Linked DNA regions of Ovis aries. The protein of the gene in region 3 interacts with the protein of the main gene of each other region in a biochemical or structural test. Links are inferred from orthologs where the notes say so. Each region holds a gene or a part of one and is shown on either strand. Other genes may lie near its edges.

Region 1 (4,859 bases), on a different chromosome or scaffold from region 3:
TTCACTTCCATTATGGCAATTAAAGGTGAACAGTCTAAATGGGCATAATGCCACAGGTACTGGTTTTGTAAAATGTTTGTATTTGGGGAGGAAGAACTATTTCTTTTCTGCCAGTGAAAGATGAAAATTAAGTACTCATCAGTAAAATAACCTCATGTTCTAATCCTAATATGTGTCAGACACCACTGAAAGTTTTTTAAAAAGTCCTTGGTGGCAACATTTTACATGTTCTTGAGTAACTTGGTTTAAATTTCCATTCTCTTTAAAAATTTTTAAGATACTTATTTGGCTGCACCTAGTCTTAGTTGCTTGCCTAGAGAGTCCTGTGGACAGAGGAGCCTGGTGGACTACTGGCCATAGGTCTGCAGAGAGTTAGACATGGCTGGAGAGACTTAGCATGCATGCATGAACTGGAGGAAGAAATGGCAACCCACTCCAATATTCTTGCTTGGAGAATCCCAGGGACAGAGGAGCCTGGTGGGCTGCTGTCTATGGGGTCGCACAGAGTTGAACATGACTGAAGCAACTTAGCAGCAGCAGTCTTAGTTGCTGCATGTGGGATCTAGTTCTCTGACCAGGGATGGAACCCGGCCGGGCCCCCTGCACTGAAGCCCCAAGTCTTTGTCACTGGACCACCAGGGAAATCCCCAGGTTTCCATTCTTATTTGGGTAGTAAAAAGGAAGACTGAAGTCATTTTTCAACAGCAGCTCTTCCATTAGATTGACTTGATAGCTATTTATGTGACAAATTTAATCTGAGGTACTTGAAACTTAGTAACAAAGGTGAGAACAACAACATGAAAAGAACAAGAGCAAGAATATTGCCTTGATTTGTCTCCTGAAAAAGTGTACCTTGTCTTCAAATTTTTGAGTACCACAAATTTAGTCCCCTAAGGTAAGAAGGTGCTTTTTTAGTGATTTTTCTTCCACCGACCTCTGGTTAAGAAATAGTTTTGTAGAGATTTTTGGATCTTCAAAGACTGTTTAAGCTAGTAGCCTTTACACCAATAAACTTGGATTAAAAAAACAAACATGATTTTATTTTTACCTTTGGAAAGCAAAGGATATATAAATAGCAAAACAAAACCAAAATAAAGGACCAAGGACTTAATGGTCAAATAAATGGTTGACAAAGCAAAACCACCAAATCACTTTTCAAACATGGATCTTTTCTCTTAACGAATTTTAATATTACTCTTGATGTAGAACATGAGCTATAATTATCAAAAGCATACTGATCTAAACTTACTGCGTTATGGCCTTTATACGCTATTTAAGTTCTTCGCCCTTAATTCTCACAACATTCTAAGGTAAATATTCATCACTATTTTCATATTTCACCTGAGAAAACTGGGACACTTCAAAGTTAAGTAATTTGCCAAGGTTACAGAGCTTGAATCCAGCTCTGCAGGTTCAGAAATCTGTGCTCCTCAGGCATTCTACTGCGTTCTCGATAGCACAGAAAACTTGAAAATACAGTCGAACTGTAAATTCTATGTGATGCATTATCCAAGCCACTGAATTTTTTCTTACTGAAGTATAGTTGATTTATTAGTTTCAGGTGTACAAACAGTAATTTGATAATTTAACAGATTATACTGTTTATAGTTATTATAAAATGGTGGCTGTATTTCCTATGCTGTACATTATATGCTTGGATCTAATTTATTTTATACATAGCAGTTTACAATAAGTTATTTTTTGGGAGGTTCAAGAAAGCCAAGAATTTGCCATCCTCACTTCCTGATTTTAGATCGGATGAGCGGCACAAATGAACTGTTTTTGCCATTACTTATTATATCATCACTAAAACCTGAAAAGAAGGGGACTAGTTAAATTCTTAAACTTTACTTCCTGCTGTTCTAGAAGACCTTACTTAACCACTGTTTTAATCTATATGATACACTCAATATAAATGTTAAGGTTTCCCTAGGGTAGTAACATACTAAAGTGATCACTTAAATCTTAAAGAGTATCAGCTATGCATTAGTCATTTTACCTGTCTGTACTTACAAGCAGATCAACAGGATATAAACCTTGGTTGTTTCCTTTTTAGGAGCCATTTCTTGTTAATTCAATGATTAGTTAACTAAACCAAATGGAACAAATGGCCCTCCAAAAATGAAATGTAGTGGAAAAAGAAATAGAGGAAAGGAATCACAGTAAGTTACACGGTGATCCACTCTCACTAGTGTTAGAAAAGCAAAGGAGAGAGTCTTGAGTAACTTCAGTCTGACCACAATGACCACTTGTTACACCTACCACCCACTACAATACCTCAGGCTCATTAGGAATTAAAAGCAGCTCAGCAAGGTAAAGGACACATCCCAACCAGGCCTAAGGTCTCTACAACCGCTGAGGAGCACAGGGAGCCACTGAAGTAAGTTTCCCCACCCTCAAGCTTTCACTGCTGCCCAGGAGCCAAAGACCAAAAGCCAGGGGCCAAGACAGTTCTCCGGCCAGGGCAGTGACCCAGCTTGAGACAACCCTCCCCCGCCCCTGATCAAAGTGTCCGCGCCTAGAGGGGTGGGGTAGCTGCAGGGTGAGGAAGGCCTGGATAGGAGATAAGGGGACTAAGATGTTTCGACAGAGAAAAGGTCCCTTCGGTTGGCGGATCGGGACGCGGGCCCGGGTCGAGAAGAGTCGCCCGCCGCCATGATAGGGCCGGCCCATCTGGGGGGCGTGACGCGGCCGGCCCGGAGCGCAGAACCGGCTCCCCTTTCCCCCCGCCCCTCCCCCGCGTGGGCCTCGGCCACAACTGCCCCCCGATACTCACGCTTTGTCCACCAGCTCCCGCACCTTCCACATGTTCAACATCTTGCCCGAGCGGGCCGGGCCTCCACCTCCCTCTCCTGTACGCCACGGACCCCGGAACACTTCCGCGCCGGGGCAGATCCAGGCCGGGGTCGCTGCCGCTGTCGCCGCCGCCGCCCGCCGCCTCAAACTCCCCCAGTCAGCTCCTTCTCTTGCCACAGCCGCGGCGCCGCCAGTGACACGTCGAGACGCGGGGGCAGAGGCGCTGCGTGGGGCGGAAGTGCCTGACTTTCCGCCCGCTGCGCACGGGGCACGCTGGGACTTGTAGTTCTCTGTGCGCCAAATTAGGCTGAGAGTTTCAGAGGAAAGCTAAAGTTAGGATTCTTCGGTAAAAGAGCTCTCTGGATTCTCCGCACCCCTCCGCAGTAGTCATGTATGGATGTATGGATGTGAAAGTTGGGCCGTAAAGAAAGCTGAGAGCCGAAGAATTGATCCTTTTGAACTGTGGTGTTGGAGAAGACGCTTTAGAGTCCCTTGGACTGCAAGGAGATCCAACCAGTCAGTCCTAAAGGAAATCGGTCCTGAATGTTCATTGGAGGGCCTGATGCTGAAGCTGAAACTCCAATACTTTGGCCACCTGATGCGAAGAAATGACTCATTAGAAAAAACCCTGATGCTGGGAAAGATTGAAGGCGGGAGGAGGAGGGGAATTCAGAGGATGAGACGGTTGAGTGGCGTCACCAACTCGATAGACATGAGTTTGAGCAAGCTCCAGGAGATGGTGAAGGACAGGGAAGACTGGTGTGCTGTAGTCGATGGGGTCGCAAAGAGTCGGACACGACTGAGTGGCTGAGCAACAACAATGGACAGAGGAACCTGCCAGGCTGCAGTCCATAGGATCTCAGAGTCGGAAACGACTGAAGTGACAGCATGCACGCGATGACTATAAGAAGTATAATTGGCATATGTACTCCTCATTGACAGAAGTAATTCTGTAGTTGGTTCCAAATGCCCAAATATACTTCCTTCCCTGGGCTTTAGTTTCCATCCTTGTACATTGAAAAGGCTGTGTCTTAAAACCTATTCCATTCTAATTCTACCATACAGTGCTCTTATATTTAGACAGATACTTAATATCCTTGTTAGATACTTACTATAAAGTTCAGAACCTCAGTTCACACTCCATGGGAAATTGTAGAAAAACAACACCAGGACATTAGGACGGGCCCAAGAAGCTGACACGTGTATATTCTCAAAGTGTAGATATACATCTATGCTGCATTCATTGTTTTATTGCAATGATTATTGTCACTTTATTTTTCACTTACTTATTTTTTGACAATGTTCATGTTAGAGCCACAAACACTCTTAAAGTTCATTTGGTCAAACTGCTTAAATTTTACAGTTCTTTACATTCTACAAATTTTTATTGAATATTTTCTATGTGCCAGGAGTGTGGAGAAGGAGAAGGGGATGACAGAGGATGAGATGGTTGGATGGTATCACTGACTCAGTGGACATGAGTTTGAGTAAACGCTGAGAGCTGGTGGTGGACAGGGAGGCCTGGTGTGCTGCAGTCCGTGGGGTCACAAAGAGTTGGACACAACTGAGTGACTGAACCGAACTGAACTGAAGGAGTGGAGAACCCAGCTGGGAAGAAGACAGGCAAGGCCTCAGCTCTCTTGGATCTTAAAGGTCTTTGGAGGAAAACATAGTAATTGAGGGAACATTTAAGATAATTGCTGATAGAAAGTGCTTGAAGAAAACAGAAGATAATATTATAGAGAATGATGTTAGAGGAAAATAGTATTAGGGAATATTTAGGGTGTCTTTGAGAAGGCAATGGCACCCCACTCCAGTGCTCTTGCCTCGAAAATCCCATGGATGGAGGAGCCTGGTAGGCTGCAGTCCATGGGCTCGCTAAGAGTCGGACATGACTGAGTGACTTCACTTTCACTTTTCACTTTCATGCATTGGAGAAGGAAATGGCAACCCACTCCAGTGTTCTTGCCTGGAGAATCCCGGCAGCGGGGGAGCCTGGTGGGCTGCCATCTATGGGGTCGCACAGAGTTGGACACGACTGAAGTGACTTGGCAATAGCAATA
Region 2 (4,839 bases), on a different chromosome or scaffold from region 3:
CAAAATCACTGCAGAGGGTGACTGGAGCCATGAAATGAAAGACACTTGCTCCTTGGAGGAAAAGCTATGACCAGCCTGGACAGCATATTAAAAAGCAGAGACGTTACTTTGCCAACAAAGGTCCATCTAATCAAGGCTATGATTTTTCCAGTAGTTGTGTATGGATGTGAGAGTTGGGCCATAAAGAAATGCCAAAGAATTGATGCTTTTGAACCGTGGTGTTGGAGAAGACTCTTGAGAGTCCCTTGGACTGCAAGGAGCTCCAACCAGTCCATCCCAAAGGAAATCAGTCATGAATATTCATTGGAAGGACTGATGCTGAAGCTGAAACTTCAATACTTTGGCCACTTGATGCGTAGACCTGATTCATTTGAAAAGACCCTGATGCTGGAAAAGACTGAAGGCAGGAGGAGAAGGGGACGACAGAGAATGAGATGGTTGGATGGCATCACCAACTCGATGGACCTGAGTTTGACTAAGCTCTGGGAGTTGGTGACAGACAGGGACGCCTTGCCTGCTGCAGTCCATGGAGTTTCAAAGAGTCCCACCCGACTGAGCGACTGAACTGACTGATTCACAGAACCTCCCACAGGATTGAACTCTCTCCTGGCTTGCTAGTGGAGGCCCTCGTGGGCTCTCACCTACTGCCGGAGTCTCCCCATTGGTTCCCTTCCTTCCCGTCGCCCCCAGAATCCCATCCACACGATGCCAGCTGGCAAAGCCGTCAGAGGCTCCCCAGTGCCTACATAGGCCCACCCCCTCTTCTGCTTCTCTATTGAATGTGTGAATTTTTATCAAAAGCTCTTAGTCAAAAAAAAAAAAAAAAAAGTAACGCCTTTCTTTACTTTGAGTTGCAAAAAGCATTTATTTTTAAAACATCAAAATTGGCATTTGAACAGAAAACTTTTAACTTTCTTCAGCATCTCGGCTAAGGATCTTACTTCCACCCCCTTCCATCCCCCCTACGCCTGTCGTCAGTACCTTGGCTGACGACGGAGCAGGATGGGAGGGGTGTCCCAGAGCCGGGGATAAATATTAAAATGTCCACATGGGTTTCTACCAACGAATACATCCTGACCAGATCCAGAGGGTGAGAGGTTTGTAAAGGTGTCGAGAAGTTTCCACTGACCCAGCCCAGCGCTCCCTGGTCTGCGAACATTACAAAAGGGATGGGCAGGGATTCGGGGCAGGGGCAGGACGAGGGAGAAGGCGGTGGGAGCCGCTACCCACGCCGGCCAGGTCTGCGACCCGCTGAACCAACCTGCGGAGGCCCGGCCTCAGGGCAAGCGCATCCTGGGACAGGGGCCGCCGAGCTGGTCCATCGCGCGCGCTCTTGTCTCCGGCCCGAAAAGAGTTAACAGGCCAGTCCCACGCGGGCCCGGATTCCCTGCGGCAGGCCCAACTCACCGCCAGCTTGACCCCCGCCCACCAACCAAGCCGGGACCTCGCGGCGCCCGGGGTGGGGTGGGGGGACTGGGAGAGTGCGGCTCGCTGGGAGCTCGCGGGTGCAGCCAGCGGCTGGGAGAGCCGCGCTCTGGGCGTCGGGGAAGGGGCGGGCTAGGGCAGGTCAGGCCCGCCCCCGCCAGGGGCGGTGGAGGCCGGTGACCGACAGGCCTCCGGGCCCGTCCCGGCGCGCCTGACGGTCCGGAGCGCCCTGCAGGGTAGGGCCGGGGCGGGGGCTCTGGAGAGGGCGGGGGCGGACGGGGAAGCCTCTGGGCTGGGGCGGGGCCTCGGCAGAGTAGCAGCGCTCTCAGCCAATGGGAGGCGGGCGCCTTCCCGTTAGCGCCGGATCCCAGTGGATAGGGAGGGGCGGGCGGCGCCGTGGGGATCCCGGGGCGGCTGAGGGCCCCTGACTCGGCTCCGCGCGGCGACATGGACCGGATGGCCAGCTCCATGAAGCAGGTCCCCAACCCCCTGCCGAAGGTGCTGAGCCGGCGTGGGGTTGGCGCGGGGATGGAGGCTGCGGAGCGGGAGAGCTTTGAGCGGACTCAGGTGAGGACCGGGGCGGGGTGGGGGACACCCCCGGTCGTGCACGGCTGGGGCATCCCGCAGTGTCCTGGAGGGGACTCGAAGGGAGTAGGGATCTTGCAGGCCCAGGGAAGGACTGAGCAAGGGGGCATCTGGTGCGGTGGTCAAGGCGGTCTGGGAAGGTCGGGGACCCCGGGGCCATCCCGGCTGGCCTGGGGGAGAGGGCAGGGCGGCTCTGAGCAGCTGGCACGGTCCGCGCGGTGCGACCGACTGGAGCCGGTCCCGGCGGGGCAGGGCAGGGGTCACGGGGGCGGTGAGAGGGGAAGGAACGCGAAAAGGGGGCCGAATGGAAGGGGTGCCCCTAGCTGGGGAAGGTCCCTGGCGGGGGGGGGGTGGCGCTGGGGGTCGCAAGTGTGGCTGCAGAGAGTGGGGCGCTGAGTCGGGAATGTGAGGGCTGGGGCGCCCTGTACTCTCCGCTCGATCACTTCAGGACTGCGTTGACATTCCCCCCGTCCCTAGCATCCCCTTCCTTGTGCCTCTAGCTTGGCTCACGCCAGCCCCCAGCTGTCGGCCTCGGAGGACCGGACTGAAGGGGTCTGAGCCCGGAGGAAGGAATGTAGGAAATGCGGTGTGTGGCCGAGTTTGGAAGATGACCGGGGGCTGGAGGAGGGGGCCGGCCCAAGGACAGATATTGAGGGTCCTGGACCAGTGGCCCCGATTCGGGTCAAGTTGGGTTGTTCTGGGGTGCCCAGAACCCTGAATCGGGGTTTTGATTTCATCCCCCTAAATGTGCCTGACAGCTAATAGGCAGCCTGCCCTAAATTGTCCAGCCTGAGCAGGGCTAGGGGCCAAAATTCCTCACTGTCATCAACAAAAAGCCACAATCCATTTTTACCTCAGAGTTTTAATGCCTGGTGTATTGATTGGACTGAATAAAGCTGACATGTTTATGGTGTTCATCGGCTGGTTTGTATGCAAAATCCATTTCGAAGGGCACAGCACTTCTTTTAATCCCACTGCTGAAGTTGTATGGGCAAGTTTGTTCCTCACTCGCGCTCACTCTTGCTCTCGGAGTGAAACCTTTGAAGAGCCAGGGGGCTTCCGCTGCCAGAAGCTGGTTCTCCCGTTCTGTTCTGCTCCCCACCGCCCTCCCCAAACTTAGTACCATGTGAAGGAAGGGCAGTGGGGTTTTAGATAAAGATTGTGAGGTCCTGATCGAGTGTTCCATGTAGGGAATCTTGCAAAGAAGGAAACTTTTCATGAAAACCCAGGAGACTAATTCCTCTTCTTTTTCCAGGCACCTCTGGCCCTTCACAGGTGTGTCCAGGTGGTGTAAAGTAGGCAGTGTCCCCTCCCTAGGTCATCATTCTACCCCACACGGGATGGGAGAGAAGGCTCTTTACTTCTCTCTCCCAGGGTCTGGCTGGGTTTAAGCTTTATTTTCTAATTCTGTGGATTGGACCCCAGAAAGGAAGGAAGATGCTTGTCTGCTATGGGCATTATGCCCTCGTCTAGCTGCCTGGGCACACAAGGCTTCTTGCTCCAGGAAACAGTGTAAATCTTTCTTGTAATGGACAAGGAAAATAAATGGTAATTCATTCCTTTTAGAGTCTCCAGTAAAAACTGGAGCAATAGAGAAATACACATAAGAGTTTGACCCATTATAGTGATGGAAATTAGGTTTGTGAAAGTTTCTCTAGCTATCCAGGGACGTCCCAACAAGGAGAGTCTAGGTCAGTGTTAGGCAGTATCTTACATTCTGTGGGGCACTGATAATTGGCCAGATTTGAGCTAGTGGCGTGTGTGTGTGTGTGTGTGTGTGTGTGTGTGTGTGTGTGTGTGTGTGTAAGGGAGGTAGAATGAATCAGGAAAAGAGTTTCTGTGTTGTTGAAACTATTAGGGCAATAAGAGAGTGAAGAAAAGGAAAGAGAACAATTCTAAAAACCTCACCTTAGTCAATCTGCAAAAATGTGTATTGTTTAATGACTACTTACCCAATGTATGTGTGTGTTAGTCACTCAGTCGTGTCTGAATCTTTGCTACCCCATGGACTGCAGCCTGCCAGGCTCCTCTGTCCACAGAATTCTCCAGGCAAGAATACTGGAATGGGCAGCCATTCACTTCTCCAGGAGATCTTCCCAACCCAGGGATCGAACCCTGGTCTCCCTCATTGCAGGCAGATTCTTTACAGTCTGAGCCATATGAACATGAGTTATAAAAAAAATTTAATGAGTTAAGAGACCATGGAATCAGTGAAGGTGGGCGGATGATTGTAACTAATTATGTTTGGCACTTTTCTGAGTACTTTATTGTATCACCTTCTTTAATTTCAGTAAAGTACTGTGAGGTGATATTGACAAGGACCTATGAGGTGAGTATCAACCACATTTTATCTGGAGGAAATTGAGGCACAGAGAAGTTAAGTAACTTGCCCAAGGTCAGACAGCATGTTGTGATCCCAACCTTTAACCACAGCTCTGTGTGGCTTCTGAGTACTGGGCCGAGCACTGGTATGGGAACTGGAAGAGGCTGAAATTTGATAGCCAGGCACATGGAGGGGCTGTGGTCCCAGGCAAGTTTTCCAGCTTTTCTTAGCCTTGGGTTCCTTATTGCAAAATAAGGATACTACTTACCTCACAGGTTGATTATGGGAGACTAGATTAAATAATATACCTGGAGGCATTTTGTAAACTGGAGAGCACTGTGGCGATGATGATTGCTATAATCTGAGGAGGAGAGGGGACCAGAAAAAAGGCCAAGTACTGGGGCAGGCTGTGATGAACTGTTCAGTAGAGGGACAGAAGTGTTCCTGGTTAATGCAGTGATTACCAGGAGTGATTGCTTAAAGTCCAGGCTGTTAGGGTGCGAAGC
Region 3 (5,058 bases):
ATTAGGAAAATACTGAAAAACCTGATGCATCTTAAACGTGGAAGCTTTTCCTAGAGTAGACTGCCACATAATTCTAGGCACTATGACTCTCCCAGGTAGTAGAGTTAAGCATATAACATATCCCAGTAACTCAGCACTGCTTACTCTTTGCAAATCAAAATAACCATTATCAAGAACTCCCACATTCCATGCCTGTATTTATGGATCAAAGGGAAAAGAACAGGGTTGGGAGATTTTTAATTCAGACCCCAAAAACCTGGGAACACAGCAGAATGTGTCAATCAGCATAAAGATACTAAATGAGCTAAGAAATGATAACTGCAGGCAACTCTATACACAGCCTAGGATTTTTTTCAGAACCTGCAATTCTAACAAAATCTTGTTCAACTAGGCACTCATCTGTTCACTGCTATCGGCCTAAACATCTTAAAAAAGAAAAAAAAACTTTGTAACTTAAAATATTAATGTTCATCTAATGTAGTTCTAAACCCTTGATGACAGACCCTTTGGTTGGTCCAAGCAGTTAGATGGTATAAAAATAAATTCATTTCAAGTTCACCCTTTGAAGCTTTCACAGGTTAATGCTACACTCAAGTTCCTCAATTCTTCCCAATTATTATCTTAAGTGTTTCATAAAGTTTTTGCTACTTAGCAAACTGGCAGGGGCTCAGAGGTCAAAGACCTAAGATGCCAATTAAAATAATCCTTAGTATACAGTCACTATAGCAAGCTTAAGCTTAGGCATGGGATATATATACTACTCCAAAAACTGAAAGACTGAATTCTTTCAGTATATTTGCATAGCTACTTTACACTCAACTCTTCAAAGTATTTGAGAAGACAGCCTCACTCAAGTATTTGCAAAAACTATGAACCACTTAGAAAGAAGACCCATACTAAATGTGTCTTCAGTTAGTGACAAGGTTGGAGTCCAACCTTTGGAATTATTCAATAATCTTGTTTCTTCATTAACAGAAATGAAAAAACTATTGCTCAAACTACCACTAGTCAAGAAACAAGATTTACTAGTGGGATATGCCTCTGTTTTGTAAAGCAAACAGCAATTGCTAACTGCTTTTCTTGTGTATGATTTTACATACTTTTGTCTGCAGGAAGATTATATTCCAGAAGCAGTTCAGTGTGAGGACAAGGGTGTGTTTTCCCTTCATACTCAAAAACATTTTCCTAACCCTTCACATTCAACAATAGTAACCACAGCAATAAAAATTTGGATGGAGCATGAACAATAATTTCTGGGTCCATTCTATCACTTAACGTTTTTTGACCTTTTGTCAAATAGTGTTCTATTGCATCGGATGAGTTATCTGAAAACCAAAAATGACTGAATAAAAGTACATTACTTATTTTTTTGAATAAAGATTACTCATATTTCAAGACAAAGGAAAAGAAGTCTTGCTGATGCAAGCAAAGGTGATAATCTGTAAAAAACGAAATTATGTTGACAGGCAGAATATTAAACCTAATACAAGAAGGCTTTATATACGTTATAACAATGGCAGAAAGTAAACAGCATTCCATGATAAAGTGTCTAGCAGGTCACTAGTATTAGTGTCATGTCAAACCACTGGCATCTCTTATCATTTACAAATTAGTCCTTCAAATAATTGAGGGGAGGCAGGACTCTTTAAGGAGGTAACTGGAAAGAAAACATACTTTATGAATAAATTTATTTCAGCCAAAGTAAAACAAGGATTGGTGAACCAGGAAAATCAGAAGCTCCAAAGACGACTTAATTCAGTCAAGTCCTCCAAAGATCACCTGCCTGGGCCCGCCGTGGGCAAGCTGCCAGATAAGACAGTCTGTTGCCTACAGGATACTGCACCATGGAGAAGAACTCTAGAACCTACCAAAGGCAGCCAATTACAGACCAAATAACCCCGCATATCTCAGGGCAAGTGTGCTATATCCCCAGGGTTCATTCAATTCCTTGCAATCCTGAGGGAGGTACTCACGCCAAGCCAACTACCTGCTAACCTCCAGCAGACCCCACGATAACCTCTGGACAACTCTTTCTCTTTTCTAGAACCAAAGAGGGGATAAAAGCTGCACCATTCGCAGAGAAATCGAGAGAGTGAAAAAAGGCGAGTCCCTCAAACCCCCCACGCACTCTGAAATTGACACCACACTAATAAATACATTCCCTCTTTCTATCCTCCTCCTTTTCCTTCAGTGACCTTCCGTGTTCCTACTGCCTTGGGCAAGGCAAGAGAGGAGCTGCTGTCGTCCCCCCCACCCCCGGGGAAGGTGCCCTTCCCTCTGAGAGGCGCAGAGGGAGGAAGAAAAAAAGCTTGCTCCTCCCCAACCCACCCGCGCCACAACTCCTAGGTGCAGGCACGATGGGGGAAAAGGGGAGAGAGAGAGAGCAATGAGAAGTGACAGCCCTGCGCTGGCTTGGGAGAAGAGAATTCCTGCTCCGGAAGAAACGCGGGAGATCACCACCACCGCACAACTCCATCCGTCCCCGGCTCCACGAACCCAAATGAATGAACTGAATAAAACCGGGGGGTGGAAGGGTTTATCATGCGCAGTCCTCGCCATCCAGGAAGCGAAGACAGAGAGGCCTTCAAACCCCAGCGTGGCCTCGCTTTCCTATGGATCTCGACTCGCTTCCTCGCCACCCAAGCCCCACATCAATCATTTAACCCTTTAAGCTTTCCAAGACAGTGCACCGTCCTCCGGCTACCTCAGGAACCGATACCCCCCCTCTCCGATTCTACTCTTTGGGGCTTGGGCTCAGACTCCCGCTTCTTCCTTCTGACCTCCCGCGTCTCCACAGCCCCCAGGAGCCCCGGCCCGCCGCACCTGAAGATGCTCCTGAAAACGAATTGGCAGAATCTGGGCCATGGCGCTGTCGGGGGGTATGGTCTCCTCCTGTCACTGGGGCTGCGGGGCAGTGGCTGCCCGGGCTCTCCAAGGAGAGGAGGAGAAGGGGGGAGGGGGGAGGCTGGGCTCAGCAGGAGAGTCTCCGGGGACGCAGGAAACTGGCAGGCAGACGAAAGAGCTCAGGTCGGGGGCGGAGGCTCCAGGGTCCAGGAGAGCCGCAATGGCGGAACCGGGCGCAGCGCAGACTCCGGAAACGGCTGAGCCCTGCGGAGGGATCCCGGCAACAGAACTCCGCCCCAGTTACTTCACCCCCCCTCCGCCTTATGTACCCCTCCACGGAGTGCCGCGGTGCCGCGGTGCGCAGGAATTCGGGGCGCAGTGCGCCGAGGGAGTCGCTGACGGCTGCGACACTGCAATAAATAGAGGCATCGAAGGGACTACTTTTTTTGCCTCATCACTTTCCCCAGCCGCCTGCTTTTCCCTCCCCCTCCACCACCTTTTTTTGCATTTTGCCACATCATGCGACTAGGGGCGACCAACGTCATTTCCGTGGGCGCTTTAGGTCCCACCCACGTACTTCCGGGTGCACGTGACGCTGGTCGGGAAAGGTCGGCTGGTTGCTGCCGGAATGCAGAGCGCGTTCTGGGGAAGTGCGGCGTCTCCTGGGAATGAGGTGGCTGTTGGGCCGCCCTGAGGAATAGTAGTGCTGCTGCCTTCCCCTGTGCGCCCTGTTTGTTTAAATCGAGTCCTTTCAGAAGAGGACGTGGCACGGGCAGATGGGCCCAGCCTCCCGCCCTCTCCGTGACTCAGGGAAACGGCCTCCCTGCAGAGCGCGCTTGGCAGTAGGCTGCTGCCCTCCTCCCCCGCCTGGTTCCGTGTGGTGGGTGGGTGGTGGTTACATCCCAAGGAGGGGGCATTGATGGGGTTTAAAATCCTCTCTGCCCTTCTGACGGTTGGAGAAGCTGACGCTTGGATTCTAGCAGAGCTAATAGTCTCTTCGGATGTTAAACAATTGACTCAAAGGGCGGTGAAGGCCACTGATGAGGTATCTCAAATAGGCCTTGTGATGGCCTTTCTTAGCGTTTCTGCGGACATTTTGGCAGACGTGTTTATGAGTGTAGTTCAGTAATTTGCTGGAGATTTTGAGTGTCCTAAATACGCTCAAGAATAGGACTGAAATAGTAGCAGGAGGACTTTTTTTTCAGCCATGTCAAATAATGAGCCTCAAAGATTTAGGTTAAAGTTGGGTTTTTCCTCCTCGTGGGTAAGATACGCTCTTGGAGAAAGAAATTAACCATTAGCGGTGTGTTTCAGTGGGACCACCTCAACAGTGTGTAAGTTAGCTGTGTTTGGGAATACAAGTATCTCAAAGCTGAAGCATCGTGTCTTGTCACTGCGTTAAGGTGTCTACGGCATTCAGTATCGGTTAATAACCTCCCCAGTACTTTGTTGCTAAGTATAAGCTACAATGATGCTTCATAACCGCACAAATACAATAAAGGATAAAAGAATTTTCGTTCTGTGCCTTTCATTTTAAGAGAGAGATGTAATGTTTTTTCCAGAAAGATCTTGAGGAACTATTCAAGTACACAATTATTTTTAATGCCCTTTTCAGTTAAACATAAAACCCCTATTAGGTAGACAGTAGTTTTGTGTGTCAAGCAGTTTTACTTAGAGAAATTTGCTTAATCATTTTAATTGCTTTTAATGTTTCCCCCAAAGTATATCTCACACACTGAGAATGAGAAAAGAATCTTTGGCAGTTAAAATAGCAGATAGACTATTCTGCAAGAAAAGCCCCACCACCATGTCATCAGAGTGAATATTTATGGTTGGCAAAATTTCATTATGTTTTGTTAAGCTAAATACTTGAAGATGTTCTGTATTCTGCAGCATTTGAAATGACCTAATAACCAGTTTAAACACGAGCTGCTTTGAAGCTTTTTTGGAAGTACGCAAATTCTAAATTAAAGATCTAAAAGTGTTGCTGCTCTATTATACAGTTAAAGCAGTAGCTTTAATCAACTTATATTTCCAGTCTCAGAATCCGGGATACAAATGAGCTATAATATGAACCCGCAACCAAAATTTTATTAATAAGAGTCTTGCATTTTCAGACAGACCACTAATTTTAAATATACGGTCAGAATCCACAAAGCAATGGATTTTAGTTTGGATATTTGGTGTGGAATATGTAACCAAAAGTGCACTGAG
Region 4 (5,010 bases), on a different chromosome or scaffold from region 3:
CTCTATGGTGTGAGATAGGGATCTAATTTTATAATTCTCCATGTGGATTATCAATATTCCCTGCACCATTTAGTAGATAATCCATTTTCCCTACATTAATTTGAAAAGTCAAATATGCCACGTATCAACTTTCCATATGTGTGTAGACCTGTTTTGGGGCTCAGTATTTGATTCCATTGGTCTTTCTACCTCCATACCACACTGTGTTAATTAATACAGGTTTAAAGTCAGTCTTGATATATAGTTCATCATAGAGTCTTGTGAAGAAGGCAATGAGCACACCACTCCAGTACTCTTGCCTGGAAATTTCATGGATGGAGGAGCCTGGTAGGCTGCAGTCCATGGGGTCGCTAAGAGTCAGACACGACTGAGCAACATCACTTTCACTTTTCACTTTCATGCATTGAAGGAAATGGCAACCTACTCCAGTGTTCTTACCTCGAGAATCCCAGGGACAGGGGAGCCTGGTGGGCTTCCGTCTATGGGGTCACACAGTCAGACACGACTGAAGCAACTTTGCAGCAGAAGCAGCAGCAGCATAGAGTCTTGAACAAAAGAATCAGTTCAGTTCAGTTCAGTTGCTCAGTCGTGTCCGACTCTTTGTGACCCCATGAATCACAGCACGCCAGGCCTCCCTGTCCATCACCAACTCCCAGAGTTTACTCAAACTCATGTCCATAGAGTCAGTGATGCCATCCAGCCATCTCATCCTCTGTCGTCCCCTTCTCCTCCTGCCACTAATCCCTCCCAGCATCAGGGTCTTTTCCAATGAGTCAACTCTTCGCATGAGGTGGCCAAAGTATTGGAGTTTGAGCTTTAGCATCAGTCCTTCCAATGAACACCCAGGACTGATCTCCTTTAGAATGGACTGGTTGGATCTCCTTGCAGTCCAAGGGACTCTCAAGAGTCTTCTCCAACACCACAGTTCAGAAGCATCAATTCTTTGGTGCTCACCTTTCTTCACAGTCCAACTCTCACATCCATACAAGACCACTGAACAAAAGAATAACACAACTGAAACATTACTCTAGGAAGAATATTCTTATGACTGTCAACAGAGTAAAATGGTCAAATGAGATATCACAAGGGCTTACACTCCAGTGATGGCAGTGTGAATGGCAAGAAAACAAAGAATCTAAAAGTAATTCCAAAGAACATATTAATAAGATTTGTTGGCTGATTGGATACGGAGCAATCAGGAGAGCAAGCATATGGGGCTTCCCAGGTGCATGCATGCTAAGTCGCTTCAGTCGTGTCTGACTCTCTGCAACCCTATGGACTCTAGCTTGCCAGGCTTCTCTGTCCATCGGGATTCTCCAGGCAAGAATGCTGGAGTGGGTTGCCATGCGCTTCTCCAGGGGATTTTCTCGACCCAGGGATCAAACCTGCGTCTCTTCCATCTTCTGCTTTGGCAGGTGGGTTCGTTACCACTAGCGCCGCCTGGCAATGCAGGAGACACAAGCAAGCACATGGCTTTGAAATGTCAAACCTGCATCGCTGTGTGAAATAACCGTGGGTTTTTGTCATCCAATGTTTTGCCAACAATGAGTTATATTAGGCAAGGGATGTGGGCCAGGGATAATACATTTGGTGTTTGCCTGCTTACAAGTGAGCTTAAAGGGGGACAGAGAAAGCAAAGGTATGATCTCTGGGGATTTTTCCGATTTAGGGGGTGGAAGGATGGAGTGAGGTGGGAGGACATCTGAGCGGTAGGTCCAGCACGGTCCATTCTGTTAACCATAATAAGGATATTTTGAATGGAGGATGTGGGTCCTAGTGGCCCCAACACCTTTGAGTTATTTGATGGGTATGACTGTACTTTGTTTCTATGGCAACCTTCAAAGTCCCCCAAACAAGTCTGGCGTCACAGACAGCCTTGAAAACTTATCCCTTGCTGGACGTGGGGGAGACGCCCCCAGTCCGTCGGGTTGGCCTGCAGTTCCGCAGCTTGGCCGCAGGGGGCGGAATCTGCGGCGGCCTGGAAAACTGGCGGGGGTGGGAGGCGCCGCTCTCTCTCGGGTCAGGCTCCCGGCTCCCGGCTCTGGGCTCCAGGCTGCGGGCTGCCCGCGCCCAGCACGGAGCTGTTTCTCTAAGGACGCGCAGCCGAGGCTGAGGGGTGTGAGGACGCGGGAGGCAGTATCGTCGGATCAGCCCGCAGTCCGCAGCCCCGCCGAGCCTGGAAGCCGCCGGGATGGAGCCGCCGCTCCCGATTGGAGCCCAGCCCCTTACTGTATCCGCCTGAGAGAAGGGGGAGGGGAGGCCGCGCAGGGCGGGGGTGGGGGTCCGCGGGACTGCGGATCGCGGCGGAGGGGCTGCTAGGGGGCAATCGGGCCCCAAAGCCGAGCCGAGCGGGAGAGGGGGGCCAGCGCGGGAGGCGCTGCCTCGGACGCTGGGGAGGAAGGGTGGGCAGAGGGGCAGGAGCCTCTCGCCACCCTGCACCTCGGGTCCCCTCCTGGGCCGCGCTTGTAGAGAAGACCCTTGACTAGCGCCCGCATACTATCGAGGGTATGGAGATGAAGGGTCCTCTCCGGGAGCCCTGCGCGCTGACCCTAGTCCAGAGGAACGGGCAGTATGAGTAAGTAACCACCTGATACCCACAAAGGAGGGGAGCCTGCCATTACCTCCCAACCCCAAACCGCGACAAGCCACGCACCGTCCTCCCACTGAGGCCACGTGGGCAACAGGTTCGGCCCGGGTGTGAAGTGCCAGTGCTCTAACCACCTGGCTTTCTCCCCAAGTTTGCTCTGGCCTGTGGCTCAGGAAAGGGCTCAATGGGCAGGCAAGCAGGAAGCCTGGGTTCTTAGTTCCTGCCCCTGCAACTGACATGGGTTGTGTAATCCTGGGCTGGTCAATAAAGCTTTCTGGGTCTTAGTGTCCTCATCAGTTTAATAAAAACATGAACTGCCTTACCTTATAGCCTTTGGAGTTAACTGAGAGAATAATAAATATGAAAGTGGTTTACAAAGAAGTAAAAGTGTTGTAAAAACGCTTCATTGTTAACCTTCTCTTAATCTCATTCAACTGGTTCCTCCAGTCTCCCACCCCTTTATTCCATTTGCTTGAAGGCATATTCATTAATTCAGTCATGATTTTGTGTAGGCCAGTAACTGTTTCACTTACTGACTTGACTGCTAGAAAAAGTAATGACATGTATAGAAATGTAAACGACTTTTGGCCTTTCATCAGGGTGTGTTACCTCCCACTCTGCCTTGGACATAAGAGCTCAGTAAAGACTGTTGACTGGTTGATCAAAAGATTTTGATAAGCCATCACTATAGCTGCTGATCTCATTTCCTTGCCACTAATGTTTCATCTAAAGTATCTCTGATGACTATCCTATATAGGTAGGTCCCTATCCCTTTATGCCCCAGCCACCGCCCCTAGTTGTTGGCTGGTTTCTTGACATCAGTGAAGAATTGTCAATCACTTAAATCCTGCCATCCCCCAACAATGAATTCTGCTTAAAAACAACTTTTTTCAGCCCCTGCCTTTAGATTGTCCAGATTCAATCTTTGTCTATGCTGTCTAGTTTACAGAGAAGAAATTTCCATTAGCCTAGCCTGCCCTATTCTGAAACTCTTGGTGCCATTCAAACTGGATGTCAGCTGGTTCTATGGAAGTAGCTCTTCCCTAGATTCTGGTTGGTCAGTTCTGTTGATGTGATAAGTTCATTTTATTTTTCCCAGATTTCATCAAACTGGAAGACCAGTTTAATGAAAGTAAATTCAACAGAAAAGTGAATTGAAAAGTGGAACACCAGTACCACTTCCAAAGGCAAGAATAGAATGGGAAGATGTGAACCTTGGGCAAACCATTAAATTTTTTGTGCCTCGGTTTCCTCTTCTTTAAATTATGAGGATTAAATAAAAATAGCTACAGTGTTGAGATGACCACATCCCAGGATCTGGTCCCTTGGTTCTGTAGGTTTGGAACTGTTCGGCTGATAAGGGAACAAGCGGCTGGCCTTGAGAGAAACACCTCTTTCTATCTGGTCTCATATACTGGAAGCACTTTTAAACTTGCAGTGGTAGCTCTCCTGATTATTTTTATCTTCCCCCCTAGAGAAATCAAATTCTATGTTACAGTTCTGTATAAGTTATGAGTATAACACAAGTCACACTCAATGGCTTGATGTGTGTCAGGTACTCTTCTAAGCACTTGCATGAATTAGTTCATTTAACTCTCATGTGAGGATTGCTGTGAAATTGTAATATTATCATCGTCATCCCCTTTTCCTTGGTGTAGAAATGGAGGTTTAGAGAGGTTAAGTCATTTGTTCACAGTCAGGAAGTAACATAGCTGAGATTTAAAGCCATATAACATCTCAGAATTACATCATATCTGAGAAGTTTCTTTTGAAATCATTTATTGGAGACATTACATTATTGGAGACACCTCATACTGTCAAATCATCTGTATAATCCGTGTCTTTTGGGTGCCTTCTTTAGTTTTGTAGTTCCTGCTGTTAACCATAGGAGAAATTTACTTGAGAGACTAAAATTACAATTGAAAATGACTTTATTGCACACAAGGAATCAAACACTGACATTCTTTTTTTTCAAGGTAAATAGATTATGATGCAACCTGTTGTTTCATCTTTAACCTTCCTTAAACAAATCAGAGTATTTCCTAGGGAAATATTTGTGGACTTGACTTGAATTCCCAGCTTATGTTTTTTGATTTTGGGGGGGGTGGGTCTCATTTCTTTTTTAAATTGATATTTATAACATTATGTTAGTTTCAGGTGTACAATATAATGACTTGATATTTGTATACACTTTAAAATGATCACTACCATAAGTCTTTTTCTGTCTTTGTGCCACGTGGTATGTGGGATCTTGTTTCCGGGGCTAGGGATTGAACCTGTACCCCCTGTATTGGAGGCACAGAGTCTTAACCACTGAATTGCCAGAGAAGTTCCTTCAACATTTTTTTTCTTTTGATGAGAACTTTTAAGACATATTCTCTTAACAACTTTCAAATATACAGTACATTATTATAAACTATAGT

The links.
Region 1: the proteins of CLTC (region 3) and CLINT1 form a complex in vitro, tested with the Homo sapiens proteins (2 studies listed by BioGRID). The link is inferred for Ovis aries from reciprocal best matches to the Homo sapiens genes CLTC and CLINT1.
Region 2: the proteins of CLTC (region 3) and HIP1 form a complex in vitro, tested with the Homo sapiens proteins (3 studies listed by BioGRID). The link is inferred for Ovis aries from reciprocal best matches to the Homo sapiens genes CLTC and HIP1.
Region 4: the proteins of CLTC (region 3) and OCRL form a complex in vitro, tested with the Homo sapiens proteins (2 studies listed by BioGRID and IntAct, with this or other methods). The link is inferred for Ovis aries from reciprocal best matches to the Homo sapiens genes CLTC and OCRL.

The regions. Positions count from the first base shown.
Region 1 is NC_056058.1:67,029,736-67,034,594, forward strand, and holds the start of CLINT1 (clathrin interactor 1), read right to left. Parts: upstream 2,989-4,859; 5' UTR 2,818-2,988; coding exon 2,777-2,817; intron 1-2,776. UniProt on the Homo sapiens protein: Binds to membranes enriched in phosphatidylinositol 4,5-bisphosphate (PtdIns(4,5)P2). May have a role in transport via clathrin-coated vesicles from the trans-Golgi network to endosomes. Stimulates clathrin assembly.
Region 2 is NC_056077.1:34,460,846-34,465,684, reverse strand, and holds the start of HIP1 (huntingtin-interacting protein 1), read left to right. Parts: upstream 1-1,851; 5' UTR 1,852-1,872; coding exon 1,873-1,992; intron 1,993-2,567; exon of another isoform or gene 2,568-4,839. UniProt on the Homo sapiens protein: Plays a role in clathrin-mediated endocytosis and trafficking. Involved in regulating AMPA receptor trafficking in the central nervous system in an NMDA-dependent manner. Regulates presynaptic nerve terminal activity.
Region 3 is NC_056064.1:10,285,240-10,290,297, reverse strand, and holds the start of CLTC (clathrin heavy chain 1), read right to left. Parts: upstream 3,104-5,058; 5' UTR 2,866-3,103; coding exon 2,824-2,865; intron 1-2,823. UniProt on the Homo sapiens protein: Clathrin is the major protein of the polyhedral coat of coated pits and vesicles. Two different adapter protein complexes link the clathrin lattice either to the plasma membrane or to the trans-Golgi network.
Region 4 is NC_056080.1:113,486,691-113,491,700, forward strand, and holds the start of OCRL (inositol polyphosphate 5-phosphatase OCRL), read left to right. Parts: upstream 1-2,022; 5' UTR 2,023-2,191; coding exon 2,192-2,230; intron 2,231-2,277; exon of another isoform or gene 2,278-2,504; coding exon 2,505-2,575; intron 2,576-5,010. UniProt on the Homo sapiens protein: Catalyzes the hydrolysis of the 5-position phosphate of phosphatidylinositol 4,5-bisphosphate (PtdIns(4,5)P2) and phosphatidylinositol-3,4,5-bisphosphate (PtdIns(3,4,5)P3), with the greatest catalytic activity towards PtdIns(4,5)P2.